Linked DNA regions of Caenorhabditis elegans. The protein of the gene in region 4 purifies or fractionates together with the protein of the main gene of each other region. This does not show direct contact. Each region holds a gene or a part of one and is shown on either strand. Other genes may lie near its edges. The genes, in order: lect-2, tiam-1, mnr-1 and dma-1.

Evidence for each region.
Region 1: the proteins of dma-1 (region 4) and lect-2 purify together in Caenorhabditis elegans (affinity purification with western blotting; 2 studies listed by BioGRID). This does not show direct contact.
Region 2: the proteins of dma-1 (region 4) and tiam-1 purify together in Caenorhabditis elegans (affinity purification with western blotting; 2 studies listed by BioGRID, with this or other methods). This does not show direct contact.
Region 3: the proteins of dma-1 (region 4) and mnr-1 purify together in Caenorhabditis elegans (affinity purification with western blotting; 3 studies listed by BioGRID). This does not show direct contact.

The regions. Positions count from the first base shown.
Region 1 is NC_003280.10:5,788,822-5,794,939, forward strand, and holds lect-2 (Leukocyte cell-derived chemotaxin-2 homolog), read left to right. Parts: upstream 1-1,901; 5' UTR 1,902-1,915; coding exon 1,916-1,967; intron 1,968-2,426; coding exon 2,427-2,532; intron 2,533-2,536; exon of another isoform or gene 2,537-2,620; coding exon of another isoform or gene 2,621-3,084; intron 3,085-3,608; coding exon of another isoform or gene 3,609-3,705; exon of another isoform or gene 3,706-3,769; intron 3,770-3,976; coding exon 3,977-4,143; intron 4,144-4,193; coding exon 4,194-4,385; intron 4,386-4,434; coding exon 4,435-4,507; intron 4,508-4,801; coding exon 4,802-5,135; intron 5,136-5,370; coding exon 5,371-5,454; 3' UTR 5,455-5,581; downstream 5,582-6,118. Other genes in the region: K05F1.13 (C2H2-type domain-containing protein), read left to right, coding at 351-436, 645-822, 902-961, 1,007-1,072, 1,119-1,307; K05F1.14 (uncharacterized protein), read right to left, coding at 2,621-3,084, 3,609-3,705; acdh-8 (medium-chain acyl-CoA dehydrogenase), read left to right, coding at 5,734-5,803, 6,001-6,118. UniProt on the Caenorhabditis elegans protein: Muscle-derived dendritic guidance cue, which is required for the formation of somatosensory dendritic arbors which extend from PVD and FLP sensory neurons during development.
Region 2 is NC_003279.8:4,407,799-4,412,728, reverse strand, and holds the start of tiam-1 (DH domain-containing protein), read right to left. Parts: upstream 3,041-4,930; 5' UTR 2,953-3,040; intron 1,859-2,952; exon of another isoform or gene 1,669-1,858; intron 974-1,668; 5' UTR 928-973; coding exon 860-927; intron 714-859; exon of another isoform or gene 628-713; intron 505-627; exon of another isoform or gene 435-504; coding exon of another isoform or gene 188-434; intron 133-187; coding exon of another isoform or gene 24-132; intron 1-23. Other genes in the region: T21E12.5 (Guided entry of tail-anchored proteins factor 1), read left to right, coding at 24-132, 188-434.
Region 3 is NC_003283.11:20,653,056-20,660,267, reverse strand, and holds mnr-1 (Menorin), read right to left. Parts: upstream 5,617-7,212; 5' UTR 5,574-5,616; coding exon 5,522-5,573; intron 4,438-5,521; coding exon 4,303-4,437; intron 4,095-4,302; coding exon 3,933-4,094; intron 3,325-3,932; coding exon 3,179-3,324; intron 3,131-3,178; coding exon 2,840-3,130; intron 2,340-2,839; coding exon 2,220-2,339; intron 2,173-2,219; coding exon 1,870-2,172; intron 1,664-1,869; coding exon 1,546-1,663; intron 1,264-1,545; coding exon 1,152-1,263; intron 898-1,151; coding exon 744-897; 3' UTR 524-743; downstream 1-523.
Region 4 is NC_003279.8:8,280,161-8,285,014, reverse strand, and holds dma-1 (LRRCT domain-containing protein), read right to left. Parts: upstream 3,047-4,854; 5' UTR 2,950-3,046; coding exon 2,746-2,949; intron 2,670-2,745; coding exon 1,838-2,669; intron 1,686-1,837; coding exon 1,501-1,685; intron 1,404-1,500; coding exon 1,275-1,403; intron 1,226-1,274; coding exon 1,118-1,225; intron 1,071-1,117; coding exon 717-1,070; 3' UTR 538-716; downstream 1-537.

The DNA.
Region 1 (6,118 bases), on a different chromosome or scaffold from region 4:
ATATCTAATAAATTGTATCCTGCTCTAGAAAACTCTCATTATTACTTCAAAAACGTACTCGTTGGTCTGAAAATAATTAAATAAACATGATGTTACACAATAAACAACGAAGGTGTATCTATGGCAACCAATCCATCATCTACAATTCATAACTATTCCCTTCCTATTTTCTAGTTTTTCACTCTTCCGTATTTTTTTGCCCAAACAGTCGTCTTGGTGAACTCGTAGACATGACGACCACGAAAACCAATCCTTGACAACCTCTTCTATTTTCAACATTCATTTTTCACAGCTTTGTCATTTTTCTTAAATTTTAGGATTCTGAGAAATTTCCTTTTTTTTTCATACTGATGTCAATAAACTATTTTAAATTTGATTGCGATGATGATCTGTGCAAATATCATGGAATAGCTCATCTACACTGCGGACACAAACGGTACAGTTCCAAAAATTGTTAAAATTTTTAGGATTAAGCTTATGCTTAGGCTTCGGCTTAGGCTTAGGTTTGGGCGGTGGAGGGGACAAGCCCTATTTTTAAGAGATTGCCATTAGGAATAGAAAAATAATGCACAAAAATCTTGTAAAATCCAGGGCGTAGCTCTTCAGAAGACGGTAATCATTTAATAAATAATATTTTATTGCAGGTGTAACTTTGCATCAAATGATGCTCTTTTGATATCAAATCATCTTTCCGTGTTCCATTTAAAAAACTCTGAAATTCCTGACGACCGAATATTCTATCATATCGACGTCTCATGTGGATCTGACAGGTGTCAGTTTAACCGAAACAGTTCTCATTGGCACTGTGCCAAATGTCAAACGGTATGACTATTCTCTTTCAGAATAATTTTTGAAGTCTGGAAAGCTTCTGTGACACTGATCAATAATTCATAGTTTACAGGGATTTGAAATTGTTGGTCTCCATTGTTGTCCAATCACTTCCCTTCCCAAACGGCTTGATGTAGTTTTCAGGTTTACAACAACTATTTCATTTTTAAAATTTCAGTCCTGTTCTCGTCCGTTCTGCAAGCTCAAAAAGAAAGCACACTTTCATTGCAAAATTTGTGATCAGGTAGTTTGGAATACAAAGTAATCGACGAAGAACTGTATATGTTCAGGGTTTCTCGAATAACACAAAATTGGCAAATCATACACATCGGACTCAGAAGCTGCAAAAAAATATCTGCATAGAAAATGGAAAATTGAAACCGAAAAAAACCACTCCGAGGGATTTTTTCGTGCTTCGAGAACCTATTAGGTTTACGATGGAAGAACATTTTGGAGGAGGGAGTGTGAAAGAAGAATAGGATCTTAATTTTTTTTTTACTTTTTTACATAAAGTTAAAAAATATATTTCAGCCGAAGTATTTGATATTTGTTGCGAAATTAATAGTTGTTGTTAAAATTGGACATATTTTGGAGGGTTTTTATATAAATTAAGGTTTTTTAGATCATAATTATCTCCTGTATGTGACTCTTCAGAAAAAATCAAGTTGACCTATTGAGTAGACGTAATACCTCTATAGTCCCATAAAACTATACGACTTGCTGCTCTGTGAGCACTCTTTCTCACATTCACCCAGTGTGCCCCCCATTATTGCATTTATTGGTGAGTACACCCTGAACAACAACACAATAACTAACATCGATCTGAGATCAAGCGCAGATAAGATAGAGACGCAGATGAAACAAGAGTCAGTTGTCTGTGCTCTGTGTCTTCAGGACGTTCTTTTGACATGCCATTCGATGATTTGGGTTGATGAAAAGTAAGGAAGAACATTTCTTCTTTTTTTGCCTGCAATCATCAAACTGAGCTTTCCGTTTTATTTATTACTTTCTCTCTCCACCTTCTTCTCTTTTTTGTTGTGTTTTTTTTTCTTTTTAAAGTCTCCTAAGTGGCTTTTTTTGCAGTCAAATGCATCTGAGAACCTTGCATTTTCTAATACTTATTGGGATATTCATAGGAGGTGAGTTAAACATATTTTGATCATTGCAGCGGAGTTTTTTTAAAACAAGTTTTAAGCAAACAATGTTTCAAAGTTATTTTTTAAGATTTTTCAAAATTTTAATAGTAAGTCAAGTGTTGGCAAATTTCCAACTTCATAACCTATTGGGGAATTTTGAGAAATTGAGCGAATACTCGCAGATTTGAATCCATGTAGTGTTTGAATAAAATAATCAAAACAGTATATTTTTGGTCGACTTCAAAAAAAAATTAGTTATTTTAAAGACGTATAAGATATTAAATACTTGCCGCTGGTGCTACTCCAATTTTCACATTCTGAAAGTTCACTTGCACTTTGCAACAGGCAAGCGTGTAGGTTCAAGATAGTCGTAAGTTGCCTTGAAGGCTTTATTTAATTGCACCAAACACTAAATTTTCAGCACAAGAAGTTGATCAACTTTTAATTATTTTTAATTTACAGGTCAGACATTGGGATGTATGAAAAAAGTTTGTGGAAACAATGCAAAAAACGATTTTCGTCGCTGCCCGGACACTGATGGATCCTGCGGTAATTATCATACAGAGAGGTGAGAAACTTTTTTATACTAATTTTTTTGTAAAGAAACTTTGTATATAAGTGAAAACATAAGAAGTTATTTTTCAATAGTAATGAATTCAGACATAGAAAATAGCGTGATCAATTTCTTTTGTACATCTTTCACGACTCCTTACAAGCTGAGATTCACTTGAAATAACAATACATCGAAGAAATGTTGCAAGTAAAAATAAAATAATACCTAAAACTGTAAGGGCTCCTAATTTAATAGTTATAGTTGCTCCGTTTACGAGATCATTGTAAAAACCAGCAAAAAATAAATGAAATAGAGGAGATAACAAACTGAAAACTAACGTTTGAGTAAATAATTTCAAATTTAAACATCGAATTGAATAAATTTCAAGAAAAAGGGCTAACACTGCTAAGAATGGCCATTTGTCGTCAGGAACATTGGCTAGAAAATCAGAATTTTGAAATAAAGTATAGTGAATGAAAAGTTGAAATATTGAAATTAATACAGAATGTTGAAAAAGATAAATTAACAATCGATCGATAACTGCACATCTTTGAAGCAGTGGTGTATCTGGAAATTTAATTTTTCTTTCATTTTTCCTTGATTTTTGAAAATTGGTGTAGCAGTTTTCAAATGAGATTTAAAACTGAAATTGCAATACAAAATATTTTTGAGAGCATTTTTGAATATTATAAATTGAATACCAGTACTCCAACACTAAATGACCGCTATAATACATATTTACTTCTCATATAAAAAATAATAGATTTCTAGAAGATCCAGAGTAACTTTAAATGAAAAAGGAGATTCTAAAAATTTAAATTTACTGAAAAACTTAATTTCCGTATTTTTCCAATTAATTTTCTACTTCCAGTTGTGATTTTAAAAAGTTTTGAGAAACAAAAATCTTGAAAATAGATCAACTTATTCTAACCAGTTTATCATTGTTATGAATTTTAAAAAAACCAGATACCCAATCCAGACAAGATGCAAAACTAATATTGTACTTCACTCAAATTTTGTTTTATTTTAAAAACTCAATGCTGGAATTTTATGAATTTCAAGAATTCAATTTTGTTATAACCGAAACAAACCTTGAAACGCTTTATCGAAATTTCCATACAAAATATAGATCAACAATCGAAATTCAGAAATTTCCAACTTGGAAACAGTAGCAGTCGGTCGTTTCATTCTTTTGAAGAAAAACACGAAAAGTGAGCTCACAGATCTTTTGAGCCGCGGAAAAGAGAAAATGAGAAGAAACAGAGATAAAGTGATGATATCACACACATTCTAACTCACTTTTCAAAAAAAAACAACGGATGATATGACACATGGCTTTTGAAACGAGACAACACTGGTTTTAATATTAAAATGTCTAGTTTTGAAATTATACAATTTTTTATTTATTTCTAGAGTTTTGCTAAATGTATGTTATAATAGTGACAACTTATTTTTTCAGAACATCAGGAGAAATAATCGATGGAGTGGATGTTCGATGTCATCTCGGAGAGCCAATTTATGCTCCAATTGAAGGAGAAATGTACTTTTGGAGACCATATGGAGGTAAACGTGAGAAATCATGCGCCGACCAAGGAGTGAGAATTGAGGGAACCGGGCAGTGGCAGGGTACGTTTTGGAACTTCAAATATAAAACTATTGATTTTTTTAAATTTAAGGCTACGCAGTGCACATATCTTCTGTTAAATTGTCCTTTTTCGGAGGGCATGTTGAAGCTGGAGATGAGATTGGAGAAGCTTTGAATCGATATTGTTTCAATGACAGAGGACAAAATGATGTCGAGCCTCATGTTGAGATTCGGTTGTACAAAGAAGGAAGACTTATCGATCCGACTCATCATCTTCAAAATTGTAATTTTTGTCAAGATCAGGTTATTTAGAATTACTAACATATTTTCAGGCATGTGTACTGGTCAGATCTGTGAATCAAACACTAGAAATGTGCTCCTTGGTGACCCTTTTAAAACTGACAAGTAAGCACTTGTTTTAGATTTTAATATATTATGGAAGAATTGCATGGGCTAAATTTTTCCCGCTGCCAAAACCAATTTTTTTTTTCAAATTCTCTCTCAATTTTTGCCAAATTTTTTACCAACTTGTGTAGCAAATTTATGTTTTCAAGCCAAATAAACCAGTGACAAAGTACCAGAAAATAACAATACATATACGTACTATATACTCTAATAATTGGGTACCGCAAAACAACTTGCAATACTAATAGGGGCGTTTTTAACAGAAACAGCTATGCATTGAACAATTAATTTCAGACGTTACAACGGAGTTCGTGGTTGGGATGTTGAATGTCAAATGATTGATGATGATGATGAAGATTCACCACGTGCACCAATGATCTATTCACCAATTGCTGGAGAAATCGTTGGAAGAATTCGTCTTTTCACTGACTCAAATGGAGCTTACACCGGATGTGATAATGATGGAATTTTCATTGTTGGAATTGATGATTGGCTCGGATTTGAGGCAAGGCTGTACAATGTGAAGGCTCGAGCAGACATCGGATTTGGAAGAAAACGAATTATTCAAGGAGAGCCGATTGCAACTCGGCTGGCATGTGAAAATAGTCCGGACAGTGTGTTTGTAGAGGTAACAGTTTTTTTTAAAGATCAGAATATGCGATTGCACTTTTTTCTGATCTTCAAGAAAATTTTAAAAATCAGGTTCTAATTTCTATTTGTCAAAGGTTTTTTGCTTTTGATGGCAAATGATAAGTAAGCTAAAAGCTCATGTCTCTTGAAACCAGTGAAGTTTTTTGTCTTCAAGGAGTATATCCTTCAGAAATATTCACATGGAGTTTCCGTTTTCATCTTTAATTTTTCAGATTCGCTTCGAAGGCCGAGTAGTCAATATTACTGATATCATAACCGCTGCCAACTGTAAAACTCCGAACTTTCCAGTATTCTAAACAGTTCCTTACTAATCTCTGAAAATGTCTCACAATTGCTTTCTGAATTCTCTTGTTCTGTTATTTCTTTGATCGTCATTACTTGCAATTAGTTTAAATAAATTTGTTAAAAATTTTAAAACAAAAATTCTTTACGTAAAACTTGAAAAACAATTTTAAAAATATAAATTGTCCCTACTCATCCACGTTGAATGACCCTTGGATGAAAATCAATCGATTGTCTTTGATTTTATTCATCAAAGTTGTTGCTGTCAAAAGTGCAATAATCATTGTGTGGACATGCTCACTCGTCTTTCATCTGGAACCACCTGGAATCGGATTGCCGTTCAAAGCCGACAAATGTCATTTGGTTAGTTTAAAGAAATGTTTACCCAAATGCAGTTGTAAAGATTTTTACTTGCTTTGTCAATGTTTTTGAGTATGTTATATGCCAGTTGACAATTGACTGACTTTGACTTGACTTGAAGGAATATTTTCATAGTCTAAGCTAAATAATACGACGTTCCAAAAATGTATCAAATAAATAAATCAATTGTTTAATTTCAGAACTGTCCGACACTCAAAAGGAAATTCAGTCCCATGCTATAAAATTTTCGAAGGACGTTCTTGTGCCAAATGCTGCAAAATTCGATAAAAGTGGAGAGTTTCCATGGGAAATCGTGAA
Region 2 (4,930 bases), 3.9 Mb from region 4:
CCTCTAAAATCAATAATTTCCAGCAATCCACACATTGGAAGAAATGCAACAAGTTGAAGACGAAGAAGCTCTGATGCATATAAAATGCTTCATCCTTTTATTGTGGTCATTTTCAGTTTACACTCTTATCACGTTAGTTTTTTATTTGAATTTCTACAGTTTTTCAGCAATTCCAAAATTTTTCCAGAGAAATGACAAAGATCATGCTGCTCAATGAGAAAATTCGAATTCTCGAATCAGTGAGACATCGTTCGAAAATGGAGTCAACTCTTTCACTTATTCGACAAAAATCATATTTCGACGCGTACGCCTCTGATTTTATTATTCGAAATCAGCAAAACGAGAAAATCAATACGGTTAAAGATGAAATGGATGCAGAAGAAATGGTACATCATTTGGTTCATGGAATGAATCCTCATAAAAATTCTTATTGAATAATTAATGTCGCTTTTCAGTTTTTATAGATTATTTAAGTTTTTTGTAATAAAGATTTGCGTTGATAAAGTTTAAATTTGAATAATTTAACTGAAAAACCTTTTTTCTATTATTTATAGCAGAAACTAAAATTTTGAATGTTTCAATGTAAAAGTTGGTTTTATTCTTCTCCACTGTCTTTTTTTCCGAAACAAAGTGTCTAGTTGACGAAAATTAATGACATCTCGGTCAGAATCTTGTCTATTTTTTGTCCCCCTCATCCAATCTACAATTTGTCAAATACCAATTCCCCTTCGCACACTCTTTTTGTTTATTCTAACCATAACTATAATATCTATCTTTTTTCAGAGTGTTAGAATAATAAACACGAACCAACTGTGTGAATGACAAGTAGTGATAGATATTTCTCAAAGAAAAAACAAACCTCAATGTAGATTCATCATTCGTCCAGCATTCGGCTTGTGAGCAAGAACATGAGAGGCGTGAGCCCATTCTGATTTGAACGCGGTTCTCTCTCACTGACAACAGAATGGAATTCCTGGAAAAAAAAAATTAGGATTGAATAATTCTGGCAAAAAAACTATGTTATTCTGTTAACAGCGAAGTTGGAAAAAGTTTTATATGTTGCAGAGAGAACAGAAAATATTCAAAAAATTTTGAAAATAGGCGAGAACAGGTATATCTACAAAAATGTGGATCAGGAATTTCAATTTTTCCATAACGAAAATTGTAATATATTTTTTATTGTTCTAATTAATTCTAAAAGCTTAAATCATTTTTTTTTGTTTAAAAATTTCAAAAATGTTCTAGAAAAAACAGCAGATTTTCGGGGATCCTAAAATGCGCCTGGAGAAAATCTTTGAGCCAGTGGAAACTTTTTCATAAATACAAATTTGTAAGCTTTTGAAAAGTTTCTGATAATCTTTTGGTAAATTGCCAAAGTTACTGAAAATTTGGTTTTTTACCGCATGTTTGAACGCCCAAAATTTTAAAAAATTAAAACATAACAGAAAAATTAAAAGCACTATGGTTTTTAGCTATTCCTACATTGGTACACTTTTAACAAAATGAAAAAATAAATTTCTTGATTATAATTTTAAAAACTAACAATCATCATAAGAAGATGAATGAAGAAAAAATTTAAAATTCAAAACTCATTTTGACCACACGAAATGGCTCGAAAAACAACAAACACTAAATTATGCTTCACACCAAAAATTTTGCGGATAGGCTTCTTCCCCACATCCCCCTTCTCTTCTTCACACCAAAAATGAAAAATGAGTGCCGAGCGGACTCTTGGTGCTCTTTTACTAAGAAGGAGCCCCCTCTTCTTAAAAGATGACACTTAATTTGTGACTAAAAGGAAACCCTGAATAGCACATCTGAAAATAGGATTTTTACGGGGGAAAGGGAGAAGTGGTGTTGAATGAAAACAATGGTTAAATACAATGAAAAGAATTGAAGGAGGAGAGGGGCTTTGACATAACTATTATGATTTGGATGGGGTGTGGCAGACAGAAGAAGGAAGAGAAGAAGTCATCTGTATGCAAATTATGTAAAAACGTGTCATCTTTTGAATTTAACTATTTTCAGATGATATAAGAACACACCTTGAATTATCAATAGGCGTTCTAATCCACTTGGATTATGAAATTAAGATTTATAGCTTCCAGGAACTATACACTTTTTTTCAAATTTTGAAATATAATAGAAATGTCAAAATCTCAAAAATTCTTATACCAGTTAAATTAATTTGAACAGCAGATTTCGCAAGGTGGCTTGAAAAAAGGAGAATCGACCAGTAAGGTTTCGCCTCCGAAAAATTTGGTTTTATGTAGACACATTTCTCATTCAAAATTTAAAAACATAGATTCTTAGGTGATCATTGTATACAGTTCCGAATGACCGCTGGCACAATTATAGTTGACTTCAATTTAAAATGAGGACTTTGTATAAATACACTCAACATGACCAAATTTCATAAATAAATACTTCAAAAAATTTTGCCAAGTTTTGGTAAATTGCCAACTAATAGAACAGTTTGAAATTTAAAAAAATTAGAACATTGCTGCAGGTTTGAGCTTTTGAAATTTTCAAAAATAAATTATTTAAAAACGTAATTAAAAACGTATTTAAAATACAAATCTCATAGAAATTTTTAATAAAAGTTCCTAGGAATCAGAAATTGCCATTATTTGGCTGCTATTTCAACAATTTTTTTAAGGAAAGTTTCACTACATGGTCGAGGCTTTTTTGTTTGATTTTCTACCACGAACTGTTCTGAAATTAGCTTTCAAAAATGACTGCAACAATTATATGAAACCGACTTTCGAAAAACTGCACGTGGTCTAGTTTTCTCTATTTTGGCTACGTAGAAGCTCAAAACCTTGGCACACCAAACTGTGAGAACTTATGTTTTCTATGCTAGAAATATTTTTTTAATGGTCATGTAGATACAAAGTGGTGAATAAAGTTTCAATAATTTATTAGTACAATTCTACGCTTCCAATTTCTCACCGTATTTTCGATTCCTGACAAACTGAAACTGAATCATCAGCGTCTTCTTTTTATTTTGCTTTTCTCTGATTGTTTCTTGTTTTTCTCTGTAAAAAATATAAATTTTTAGTTGTTTTTATTATTACTACATACAGAAAGGAAAATGACGCGGAAAATGCGAGCAGAAGAGTGAGAGAAATTTTATTGGAAGAATAATTACTATTTTAGATTAAAAAAAGAATTAGGGATTAAATGAGATAAATGTAAACTTCAGTGAATTTGTTCAAAAAATATTTTTTTTCAATCATGTACCGTTTTCAAATCTTTTAAAAATCTTTCAAGTTTCCTACAGGTTAGTGCAAACTGCTTTTTTAAAATAAAATTTCGATGAATTCAAAAAAAAATTTTGATGACTAAATTTATTGAATTTAAGTTTTTAAAAAAGTATATGAAGAACTCCAAATTTGAAGAAAAATTCTCGAATAAAAGCACTCAAAATGCCCGTGGGGAAAGATGTGTAAATAAGCAAACAAAACTCGAAAAATAAATTGAATTCCAAAATTTTCCAAGAATTTTGCTCATTTTCGAGCTCTCATTGGCACATACACTTGTCTTTCAATCAGCTTCAGCTCGAACCAAAAAAACTAGTGCTGCAAATGAGTAGAAAACAAAAAAACAGAGAGAGAAATGGAATTAGGGGTGTAAGAAGAAAAAAGTAAACGAGAAGTAGGGGGTGGAACAAAAATGCAAAAAAAAGAGAACATTTGTCCCCCGATGGGAATTGGAAAGAGCAAAACTGAATTTTCAGTTGAAGAATTTTAAAGTGAAGAAGGCGAAAAAAGTTAAATTGCAAATCGAATGGGTTCAATTTCTGTTGAGCCAGAGAGCCACATACTAACGCGTTTACGAGCTCGTTGAGCTGTGAACAAAAACATGTTAGTCTCTTTTATATACCTGTTCTGCAAGATGTGTTCAATGTAGGAGGTTGTAAAAAATCAATCGATTTTTGCTTCAGAGAAATCTAGGCCATTGGAAAACTTTTAGGAAAAGTTCCATTTGGAAAAATAGAAAATTTTTGGTTTTGAGACGAAAACAACTGTACAGCAGAAAAGCCAAAAATAATGAAAAAATATATTTTATTAAAAAATTGTAATGTGTGCGGCGAATTCGACAAGTCCACATTTTTGAAATTCGCCGAGCTCGGCAAACTGCAAATTTGGCAAATTTGCCGCACACCCCTGTTGTACAGTTAGTTTACAAGGTTTTTGTCCGGGATTTTGAGAATTGGCATTACAAAATGCTAACATCGCTAAAGAAATTAAATTTTAAACTCGCTCAAAAATTGTTGAAACTCCTTGGAATACGAATCTGCAGATTTTTAGGTTAAAAAGTAATAAACATATAGTAAAAACTTGACAATAGCAAAATTCGGGTATGAAAAATTTTTAGGCAACCACGTTTTGTGCAAAGATATGCTCTTCTAGGTGGTCCATGATTTTGTGAACTTTTTAAGCTAGAGAAAACTCGGCCATCTGAGCATGTAAAAATGGCCCGCCATGTCTCTTCAAATCTTCATAAAAATCAGGAAACATGCCGAACCAAAAAACATGAAGATTTATAAATCCTAAATACAATTCTCGAGACCACTCATTGAGGACAAAATTACGCCGACACCGCCCCGGGAGGTGGTCAAATGCCATTTGGATTGGCGGTTGTGTAATTGACATGATAATGGGGAGAAAAACGTAGAAACGAATATCCAGCGAGATTATTAGCAATGATGCAGAAAACGACGATGAAAAAAAAAAGAAAAGAGCGCGGCGCGGGAAGGGGCAAAAAGTTTTCGGGATGCAAAGATTCTTTTGGTGAGATATGGAACACAAGAATTTTGGATTTGACTGACTGCGAACTTGTAGAATATAACATTCCTGGAGATATATAGGAAGACAGGTAGGTCAAAAGTTTTCAAAGCTAACTCTGAAACTGAAGGCAGAAATTG
Region 3 (7,212 bases), on a different chromosome or scaffold from region 4:
TTCGAAATTCGTCAATAATATTGATCACAAGTCAGATGACTCATGGTAGAAGGGTTCCGGTTATGAAATAGTCTACGACTAACAAAAACTACCGAATATGCAATTTTCTTCATGTTTTAAGTTATTCGCGGATACTTACTATTGATTTCCATAGAATTTTTACACCAGTAAAGTTTGTAGGCGACCAGCCTCGTATTTTCTTTCCTACGACCTGTACGTTTTTTTGAATTCTGGTGGGAATAATTTAAGCATTTTTAATTTTCTAACTTTACATTATGTGTTCAATTAAATAATCGTTGGGGCACGAAGCAGGCAGGTCGATATTCGAGCTCCGCCCAATCTATAGGCACTTTTGACATTTTCGTACTCGATTTTTAAAAAATATTTGTTTTTGTGTTCTCATGAATTTGGAAATTGATCGTCTTTTTTTTTAAATGTATAAAACTACGATTTCCCGCTGAAGACTTGATATTTCGAAGCGAAATCTGTCTTTGAACTTTTTTTCTCAGAAGTTATGCAACAATTGATTAATTAATCATTTATTCGCAAAAATCGGAACAATCACTGGGAATAGATAGAAAAAAATCTGACTAAATATCACAGAGTTTCAAATTTCCTTTATGAAATTCAAAAGTTTTGAAAACAAAAATGCAATTCTAGAAGAAAAATCGGCAATATGAAATAGCACCAAAAAGTCGAGGATTATTTGAAAGTGCAGAAAAAAAACCCGTCTTAAAGTCAAATTAAAGTAGGTAGATCATTAGGAGTATGGTTGAGACTACCGTAATCCATGGATTACGGTAGTTGTAGGCGTTTTTGTGTTGAAGCTCTTCGAGAAGGAAATCGACAGCTGAATCACCTTTTTTTGATACCACGACGTTTCGCAGGTGTCGGTTTCTGGAGAAATTGGGATTAAAATGAGTTTCAACTTTTTTCACTTTGAAACTTTCCTAATTAGTTATGTAAGTAATTTCAAACCAAGGAAAATAGAAGGGCTAAAGAAAATTTAAAAAAAAAATTAAATTTTAGTTCACATTCAATGTTTGATGAAAATTTCCAGAAACTCTGAAATTCTTGACTAAAAAAATTAATGGTTCCAGAAGTAGATTAGAATTAAGTTTCCAATTCTTTAATTTTCCAATAAAACTAACTTTTGAAACGGTGTATCCAGCTCAATGGACACGGTTCTTCGTTTTCGCAATTTTTGATTGCCACACTCTGCAGTCCAGGCGTCCAACTTGACTCTCCATCCCATATCGGTCACTGAAATTGATTTTTTAGTCGGAGAATTGAGAAATTTTGAATTCAAGCTATAACTAGAAAATATTATTTTATTTGAAAACTTTTTTGTGGCATTATTTGTTTCAGAAATTGAAATTTTAAAATTATTTTCACTTGTACTCACAATCAAATTTTAAAAATAAAAATTTATACGATCAGTATTAAAAAAATATATATATTTATTAAACATTCATTGTTTCGAATGTATACTATAAATTTTAAAACTAAATTCTGTAGAATAAAAGAGCTACAAAAACTACAAACCTTCAAATCCATAACAATCACTATCCGGTAGTTGCCCGACGGATTTTGTCTCGTAGTACGGTAGATTTTTGAGCTGTCCATTGGTGATTTTTATCTTCCCGTCAAAACCAATGAAAACCTGAAAATTATAATCATAATCAATTTTTCTTGCGAAATTTCTAAAGTTTTCAAAAAAGAAATTTTGAAATTTTTTCCGGCGATTTTTTGAGTTTTCCAAAAATTTCTATAATCCTTCAAAAATGTTTTCGAATTGTCAAATTCTACTTTTTATGCTAAAATTTTGATTTTCAACATTTCATTTAATTAAAATTCTGAAAATTTTACCTCAAGCGAATTCTTGATCTTTGGTGAATCAATGTCTTGCACCTTATCCATCAAGTATATAGAAACTCCACTATTCTCATCCAAATCCACATTTTCCATTCCCTTTTTCGGCAAAAAGTGCACTTTTCCACTGATTTTCTGTTCGGATGGGAAGTTTGGAGGAGGAATTTTCGATAAAAGCAGTGCAGTTGGCTCTCCAAGAAACGCCGGGCCCTTTTCCGACCGGACCACTGTAGAAAGTTGGGATCCGGAAGAAGAAAACTCAACTGCTTGCCAATCTTGCAGCGAGAATGTCGGCGGAGTCTGAAATCTTTTAGTTTTCAGTTCAGTTTCAGTTTGTGAGGTTTTACCGCAATTGGCTCATTGCTGTCAGTTTGCAGGAACTTCCTGTGCTTCGGGTCCAAATCGTAAAGAATTCGATTTTTTGTTGTTGAACGGCGTAACTCGACAATCGGCGTCCAATTGGTGACCTGGAATCAAAAAATGAGAAATTTCTGCCAAAACTACAAAAATTTCCGGCAATTGTCGAAACTGCCGGGTTTAGAAATATTCGGCAATCGGCAATTTCGGCAATTATGAAAATTTATATGAAAATTTGAAACAATTTCCATTGATCTGCAATTCCGGCAATTGCCGGTTTTGGAAATTTTTGGCAATCGGTAATTCCGGCAATTGCCGATTTTTGGAAATTTCGGCGATTAGCAATTTCGGCAATTGCCGAAAATTACAATTACCGGCTATCGGGAAATGCGGCAATTTCCGAAATTGCCGGTTTTCAAAGTTCCCGGCAATTTCGGCAATTGTCGGTTTTGGGAATTTTCTGCTGAAATTGCCGAAAATTCATTTGCCAAAATTGCCGCGCACCCCTGCTACAAACACAATACATCAACGTTTGTAGTTTTGGAGAAAATTTTTTTTTTTTTTCAATTGAAATTTGTAGTTTTTATTTTTTACGCACAAAAAAACTTACATGATCTTCGGCATCACTCCACAAAAGCAGCGAAATCGACTGATCCATGCCCAAAAGCCACAGCAATTGCTCTTTGGAATGCGCAGCTACTGATAGCCGAACGGATAACATCACCGGCTGGTCCAGTCGACTGATATACTCCAAAATGTGAAACAGTTGTCTCCAAGACAATTTTTTGAATTTTGGATGCAAATGGCTGAAATTCGACTGCTTCGTCCATCCCAGAGAGAGCGTGGCGTCTGGGAAAAGATCCTTGGCTTTTTCAACAAAGGTCGATGGGTCCACTTCGGTCTGAAATTTTTGAATTGTAAAATTTTTTTTCAAGATTGTGTTTACTACCTCAACACTTCTCGGAGATCTAAACACATTTGCGTGTAAAATCACTGGGTATTGTAGTACTGGAGATGTTGGATCCGCTTGACTCGCATAGAGATCTTGAAGCACCGGACGAACTACTTCATTCGATCGGAAATTGATTTTGATGGCTGAAAATTGTTGATTTAGAATCCCTATCCGTACTCCCAGAGCGTTATGCACCTGTCTCACGCTAGAGACCTGACAGGTCCTCATCATAAATCACTTCTCCCGAGCAACACAACATATAACAAAGGTGCTCAGCCCTTCTCCTGAGAGGTGTGTAAAGTTTTGGCCCATCTGACAGCTAGAAACACATAAAACGTGTCGATAATCTATGCACCCCCACTCAAAACTTTTGGACCTCCACCCCTTTGAAAATATGTTGCCATCACCAACCGGTTGTCATTGAGACATTTTCCTCCTAGACAAGAACATGATAGATTACTGTAGGTCGGTAGGGCGTGGTTAAGGGTCATACGTATAGTAATGTGTATCAACTAACTGATTACGAATGGGGCAATTGGTGGAGGAATGTGCGGAAGAGCGGACGGAAATTGGACAATTTGAACTAATTGCAGATAATCAAAGCAGACGATTTTCGATCATTTTTAGAGAGTAAAATAAAAAAGCCTATAATAAATGGAAAATACTTGAAAACGGAAGCAAGACTGTGAAAAATTAAGTAGGGGGAGGAGGATCTTTATTTTTTTTGAAATAAAATTTTAAAACTATTTACCCTTGTTCATGGTGGCCACTTCTCTGAGCCATTCCTTAAATGTGATTCGATCGGCCAATTTAGTGTCGGCCTTCATCACTGGAACGGCTCGATGACGTGGACGACGATGAGCTTGCATGAATACGTCACCTTCGATCATCATGGATTTATTGAGGAAGGGTTCTGTAGAAGGCATGAATTATATTTAATTTTCATCTAATTGTTATAACATATTACTGTTCGAGTAATCCTTCATCCCAAAAACACTTACCGCCAGACGGGTCTCTGCTCATTACCCACCCGGGCCCTCTTGAAAACCATACCTAATTTCCGACCCTTCTCGCCCCCCCCCCCTCCCGACAAAGAGATTACGCAATGTCCCCCACCTTACCGTGTAGTTGATCCACCAGATCAGGCCAGCTGTTTACTCCATGAGCCACACGAACGTTCAGGCCGTCACCTTTCGTCTCGTTTTTCCAAAAATCCACCACAGACATCCGAGTGGCGCGCATCTCACGGCCATAGTCTGAAAATTGGAGCAGTTTGGGAGGTATAACCAAGAGAAAGAAACATTTTTTGAAACTTCAAATTTACTTGTGGGGTACCTGGTAGGCAGAGCTGTGCGGAAATCGGCGCTTTTTCAGTTTTTTCCGGAAGACTTTAGGCTCTGAAGTTTTGGAGAACGCCGCACAGCTCTCTACAATTGAACCCATTCATTTATCATTTTCCTAGAACTAGAGCTCATTAAATTTTTCCGCCAACTCAATAACGAGCTCAAGAAAATCTCGAATTTCACTTAATCTCCCTCCACCCGGAGCCATATCCTTTTTGACAGACTCCTCCCGAGCACTAAATGAGCTCTCATCATCCCTCATCATGACCCCTCTTTGTGTGGGAACGGCATAGATGGAGGGGGTAAACCAAGTGAATGAAACAATTAGATCCTTTTTGTTTGCATTTCCACAAATCTCATGAAAGGCTCGATGAAAACTTTGTCGGGTAAATCCAATTGGCACCCGGTTGGATGAGTAATAGGATGATACGCGCACAAATCTATTAGCCGAGATTCGAACTGTGGTCCTTTGCGTCTCACGTTGTCTCCTACTCAATTGAGCCACGCGCGCACCAGTTTGATTTGCTGAAAACACACAAGTGGCTCAGCTGGTTACAGACTAGCTTGAGACGCAAAGCACCAGGGGTCAAGTCCCGGCTGCCCACATTATTTTTTGTTTTGCTCCTATTGCCTTCTCCAACTCCTTCAAAGGAATTATATCCAGAGGTATGCGTTCTTAATGGCGTCTAATTAGTACAAACGGACCATAAGGCCCCCATATGGTCCATAACTATATAGTTTTATGAGATGAGGATGCACCAAATTTTGGCGTTGCGCGGGAGATAAGTCTCAAGTGGAAAAACCACCGAAAATCGAGTTGTAAGACATGGGGGGGGGGGGTCCCAAAAAGATTAGTCCCAAGGGGTGAGATTGAATATAAAAATGTTGCATATATGTTGTGAATTGGTATAAAAATGAGTAATAGGGAAATTTCAAGAGATTTTTAAGAAAAAAAGCGCCGAAGTTTAAATTGGAATAGTTAAAAATAACAACTAACCTCTACAATACGCCGTCGAAACGGCAAAAACCAATAGTATTGATATCATCATAACTGGAGCATTTTTGGGCTTAAAAGCTGCCACGTGGTAGATTCTGAAAATATTAAAATTTTGAACCAAAAAAAAACAAGAAAAAAAAAACTCAAAAAAGCAAGAGCGACCTTAAAAAACATAAATCTAGATAAAAAATGAGAAGAATTTCAAAATTTTCAAAAATTTTTAATGGAATTTTTCGGCCAACATTTCAACACTGCGGCCCGTTAAAAGAAAAATGATAAACGGAGGTTTTATGCAAATCCAAAAAGGGCACACTTTTACGTTTTTTTTTGGCATTTTTCTATCTTTTTTTGGAAAAGGGAGAGAATGGGGAGGAAAAAGCAATAAAAATCAGATTGAAGTTAACGGAAAATTTGTGAAATTAATGAAAAAAAAGATCGGCTGAAATATGAGGAAAATCTTAGAATTTAGAAATTAAACAATTTTTACTAAAAAATTACTAAAAAAACGAAAAATGTTGAAAAATCATAGAAAAAAATTCGGAAAACTTGAAAGTCTAAAAACTGATTTTTTATAATTAAAAATTGAATAAATTGAACAAATTCAATATGCAGGGTTTTTTTGGCTTTCACAAAACTGCGGTAGTTTCAGAAAAATGAAAATTTAAAAAATTCCAGCGAAAAAAGTCAAATATCCACTTCCAAAAAACAATTTCAACCGGATTGCAAATACTATTCTAGAGGCTTAGTGTTAGTAATATAGTAATTATTGAAGATTTGCATACATAAAAAGGAAGTGTGGGTGTTCTACCACCAAACCGCCGACACCGACAGGAAGCTGCTGGAGGGGAAGGGGGATGGAGACCACCATCATCCCTATAACCCCAGTCAATTAGGCCACGCCCACTAAAAAATTTTTGGAAGAGAATAGGAGGCTGGGGAGTGGGAAGTGAGCATAAAGTCAGATTAATTTCAGAAAAAAAATTATTTGGCTATCATACTAAAACAGAAACCAACAACACGTTTTGCTTGTTTCGTTAATTTGTAGAAATAATTTATAAAACTATTATCAAAATATAAAAACTGTCACATGAAATTTGACTGCAGCGACGCGCGCGAAATTTTCGCTCTCGATTCCGCATTCCGAAAAAACAGCTCGGACCACGGCCCCGCGGGTGATGACAGAAACGGGAGAAGAGAAAATGTGAAGACACAGTGCAAAAACTGCTGTTTCTAGCGTTTTTTCTTCTCCCGTTTCTGTCATCACCCGCGGGGCCGTGGTCTCAGCTGTTTTTACGGCATTTGGAATCGAGAGCGAAAATTTCGCGCGCGTCGCTGCAGTCAAATTTCATGTGACAGTTTTTATATTTTGATAGTACCGCACTTTTAGATGAATTCCTTGAAAACACTACTAAAAATTAACTCGAAAACATTTTTGGCTCCCTGCTTTATGAGTGCCTTCTCGCTTAGTAGGCAAGTTGTGCCTACCGCTGCCAGATCTTCTCGATTAGTCCAATTCCTTTTATTTCAGGAGCATGGAAAGTTTTTCAAAACATTTAGGGCATAGTACAGAAAGCGCTCAGAAAGTGTAGTTTTACTTTGAAATAAAATGTCAAAAAATTGTAAAATTTTTTATCACATAAAAAACTAGTTTCCAAAGTTGGAAAGTAAAAAATGGAAGAAGATAATAAATC
Region 4 (4,854 bases):
CGAACACCGATCCGTCATTTTTCATAGTTATGTCTTGTTCTTCGTGGTCATCTATCCAACTTAATTGGCATTGGCTTACTCCAATTGTTTTGGGTGTCACTTGGGAATCTAACGGATGAGACGACGTGTCATAACAGATTGTGCAATCTACATCCACGAATTCGCGCGCGTGTGCACATACATACGCACATCAATTTATTATTCGAATGGCTCATAAACTCATAAATTAACGAGTCCCTGTCGAACAACCAATTTTCAATTCATAAACGTCAAAATTTTGTGGCTACGGAGATTTTCCCGCGGAGTTTTTTTAAACGAAAAAGTCAACTCTCCTTCTCGAAACCTTCTCAATTATGCATTTGTCTTGGTGTGCATTTGACAAATGAGTTGACCCCCACAGAGAACCAGGGCGTAAAGACAACAGCCTCGCCGATTTATTACTTCTTTGCCGACGGATTTACGGCCGAGAAGAGGTGTCTTACCTCTTGAAAACTACTATTATGCTGCTGATTAAGGCTCCTGTCTATTTCATTGAACTTGGTATATCTACGAGCAGTTTATTTTATTTACAGACAAAGGGTTAAACAATTGAACACCGTATCGAAAAAGGGGGCAAAAATACATGAAAATGGGGCTGGGAGATCGAACGACTAGATGGATGCAAATAATCACACGGATTTAGATTTTTGAAACATTTGAAACTCTCAAAAGGATATTTAAATGCCAAAATAGGATGATCCAGGTTTTGGAGGTGCTGGTGGAATCAATGGAGGAGTGGCTTTAAATGTTTCAGTACTAACCAAGAATGGATCAAATGGTGGTGATAATGGACCATGTGTATCATTTGTACTCGAAGAGCAACTATGTGTGTTTGCCATCGTGAGTGGAGTTCGAGAGTGTTCTCGTGTCACATATGATCCTTTGTACTGTCGCTCACGAAGGAAATAGATGCATCCAAGAATCATAAGAAGTAGTGCGGCAAAAAGGAGAACTCCTGCGAGAAGTATGAGCATTTCACTTGTTTGCGTTAATCCATACCGTGCACCAAACAAAACGGCACAGTCGTTTACCTGAAGTTTTTAAATAGTGAAATTAATAACGTGAATGTGAATCTTACGTCGGTAATTGCCAGAACTGAATGACCTTCCACAAGCGATGGTGTCGCGCATCGGACATTATCGTAGTTGAGAATGTGTCTCATCGCATAACGATCTCGCATATGAACCTGAAAAGATGTTCGAATTAATTCAGAAATAAGAGAGGAAAAGACTCACTTGAAGTCCTTGAATAGCACATGAACAATCCCAAGGATTTCCATCTACGTACACTTGTTCAACATTATTTAGGAATGCCAAATCTGTATGCGAGAAGGTGTGGAATCGGTTGGCTGTGATGTCGAAAGTCTAAAGAAATCTCAGTGAGCAGGTTTCAAATGACATGCGTGTCCCCATATAAGGGGGTCCACAAACGCTTCGAATTTCGTATAGAAAATGGACATACTTTCACATTTGGAAGCAAAGTGTTGATATTGTCAGGCAAATAAGTCAATTCATTTCCGGAAATGTTCAATGAAATCAGGTGGTAATAGCGAGACGGCAGCTGTACCGGGATGAATTTGATGTGGTTGTAGGCCAGTTCGAGATGAATCAACGACTTCAATGTATAGGTCCATGACTCCTCGAAATCTAAAATTACAAATTAATTATGCCATCTCTAGTAACTTTGAAAAACCGTTCTTCAAATTTAAAAATCGGAAAAACTTTTAAATTAAAAACAATCTAAAAAGTTTTAAAAATCTAGTTTTGGGGTTATTTTAACTTTTGCTACAAAAACTCACTTTTCAAGAAATTTCCTGACAATGCAATCGAAGTCAGCTCTTCTTGTGCCCATCCCAACCATTTTGAGTCAAAATCATTCATATGATTGAATGACAAATCCAGATGACGTAATGGCATCGTTCGGAACGCATCCTCGTTAAACGGAGAGTCTTTCGAAATTCCGAGCAAATTGTGGGAAAGATCCAATTTTGAGATATTCGTATTGCAAAATGCACAGGCTGTGATTTCTTGAATGGAATTGTGAGACAAGTCGAGAACAGAAAGTTGAGGAAGAGATCTCAGTTCTTTAGTTGGAACCATTTTGAGATTATTTCCTCCGATTCCAAGTTGACGGAGTTGAGGAATACGATCAAGAGCCAGAGAATAAATTGATGAAAGATTGCAATGATTCAAATATAATTCATCCAATTGGGAAACATCTGTGAATAACTCATTGATGTGTTCAATTGGAATAGGATTCCGGTCTAGTCGTAGAACTCGAAGAGAATTGAGACCTCGAAGTAAATTTGTAGAAAGATCACTGATAGTATTATTGGATAGAGACAATGATCGCAGGGCTCTAAGATATGTGAATACTCCAGTTGGAAGAATATTCAAATGATTCGATGATAAATCCAATACTCGAAGTTTTGGCATACCACCAAAGTTGCTCATTGTCGCATGCTCAATATTGTTTGAGTGTAGATCTAATACTTCCAAAGATGGCAGTCGAATGGATCGGGACATTGCTGGAATCTGACAATTGATGAGACGAAGAACTCGAAGCTGTGCAAAACGGTTTATGTTGTCATTCCATCGAAGTTTGTTAGAACCAATGCGATTTGAGGGCGGCTAAAACAATTTATGTAAATGAAGGGATTAGATTGACGGACGGACGTTGTGGTTTTAGATCTTATCGTTTACTAACCTGAATATGAAGTGATCGAAGAGTCAACGGAAGTTGGTTTAGAATTTCCGCGTAAATCGTATCGTTTATGATTGCCTTTCGACAATAAACACTCCAAGACGAGTCATTTTGATCGCATTCACAAAGATTCGGACATGATGATGGTAGTGCAATAGAGCATAATACCAAAAAACTTAAAAATAAAAGCAAAATGTATGAAATCATTGTTCCAATTCGGAACAAAGAATCCTTGACTTCTCCAGAAGACAAACAACACAGCAGCTAGAAGCAGCAAACGTGAGGCAAAACACCATGAGAAGGCGAAGGGGACGGGCGGATAAAGGGGCGGGGCTTAAGGCGAAGGAGGGTCAACAGAGACACCACCCATGGGAAGAAGAAGAAGAAGGATGACCGGATAGAAGAGGAAGAAGCAATGTGTGCCTGACAGCACCACCTAATGTTGTTTTCATGTACCAGAGGGTGGCAATTATCACACCACTAAAAGAAAATCTATTCCCGCTTCAGGCGTTTTTGGCGTCGGGTGGTGGATGCTTGAGTTTTCTTGGAAGCAAGAGGGTGTTTGACTGAATATAATAGTTCTAAAAAATTTCAGAACCATCTCCAAGGACGAAGTTGAGCTTATCTATGTGAAGATCTATGTAATATCATTATCATCTGAGCTCAAGCAAAACTTTGCTCCTAAAATCTCAACGTCATGCTAAGGTTTCTGATGGAGATTGCATTCACGAACTTATCATATATTCATGAGGTTCTGTTAAATTGTGCAGCTCCACTCGCCCCCGTTCTCGATTGCACCCGGCTGTTCCCTAGATTTCTTCAATTTTCCCTTCAAAGTGATTTTACGAAAGCTCCAAATTATAGAGAATGCTCTAAAGTGATTCAAACGGGCATTGAAAAAAAACAAACGTCTTCCTGTAATAGTGGTCAAGGATGCCAGATGTGAAAGGGTGGGCATCACCAAATGTCAGCAGGCAGGCGCTTTTCGTTTACGACTTGCCCTTTTATTGGTGTACCCGTGTGTGTGTGTGTGGTAATAAAAGGTGATGGTGACTCTTTTCTCTGGATAGTGTTCATATTGACTATGGTGCGAAGATAATTGAGCAGAAGATGACGACGACAAGTGGTGGGAGAAGACAAGCATCGGAATTGTCGACGACATATGGTTCAAATTTGGTGGTAATTCATCCGTCATATCGAGTACCACAGAATACACTTGGCATCGAATAAAGGATCCTGTGGACAAATAATGAGCTGTTTTTTATCCGGTCAACCGAGGGGAATACTGTAAATTCAATTAGAGGAATACGGTACTTTACAGTAAATATCCATACCGTGTCATAAAAGCTTTACGAAGTATTTTCATGAAAAACGTTCTTATAAAATTATGCTTAATTTCGCATACTGATTCTTATCCGACGATTCGGTAAATCATAAAGACCAATGACTAATGCAAGAGACCTCTCAAACTGTATGTCAACACCCAATCAATCTCATTGCAAGATATTCCCGTCAGCATCCAAAACCCAAAGAAAGTGTCAAATTGCTCCTTCCAACACATTTTCGCTTATAAACTCATTAATCAAAATGTTCAATTTCCGTTTGAGATTGAATCTTTTCCGGGTTGTCGGCAAACTTTAACCCAATTCCACCGCATTCGTTGTCTTTCGCTCTTCCAAGCCCGCTCATCACAGACAGACCAATTAAGATGGTGTGAATCTCGGTGAGCACCCGCGTTCGGTTATCCTCGTGTGGAGTGACGAACACCACGGCTGTCACTATCGGAAGTGTGTGTTTGGGGTAATTTATCCACACACCGATTGACATGTCACACAAGCTCTCGCACTCTTTTCATTTATCACACCTGAAGAAAGTGTTGGCGTATGTGTGTGAGGATTTGCGCATTGTGTTGCGGTGCCCTTCAAATGTTTGATGTATCATTTTGTATGCACGAACTCTCTGGAGGACGTGTCCATGGAACTGACACTCATTTTCGACAAGTTTTCTATTCTACGATGAAAATATTTTACGAGCGTATTGGGAGTGGAACTCCCGCCGGGAAAATAGGAATATACATATATACTCGGCAATTCCCGGCAGCTTCTTCCCCAA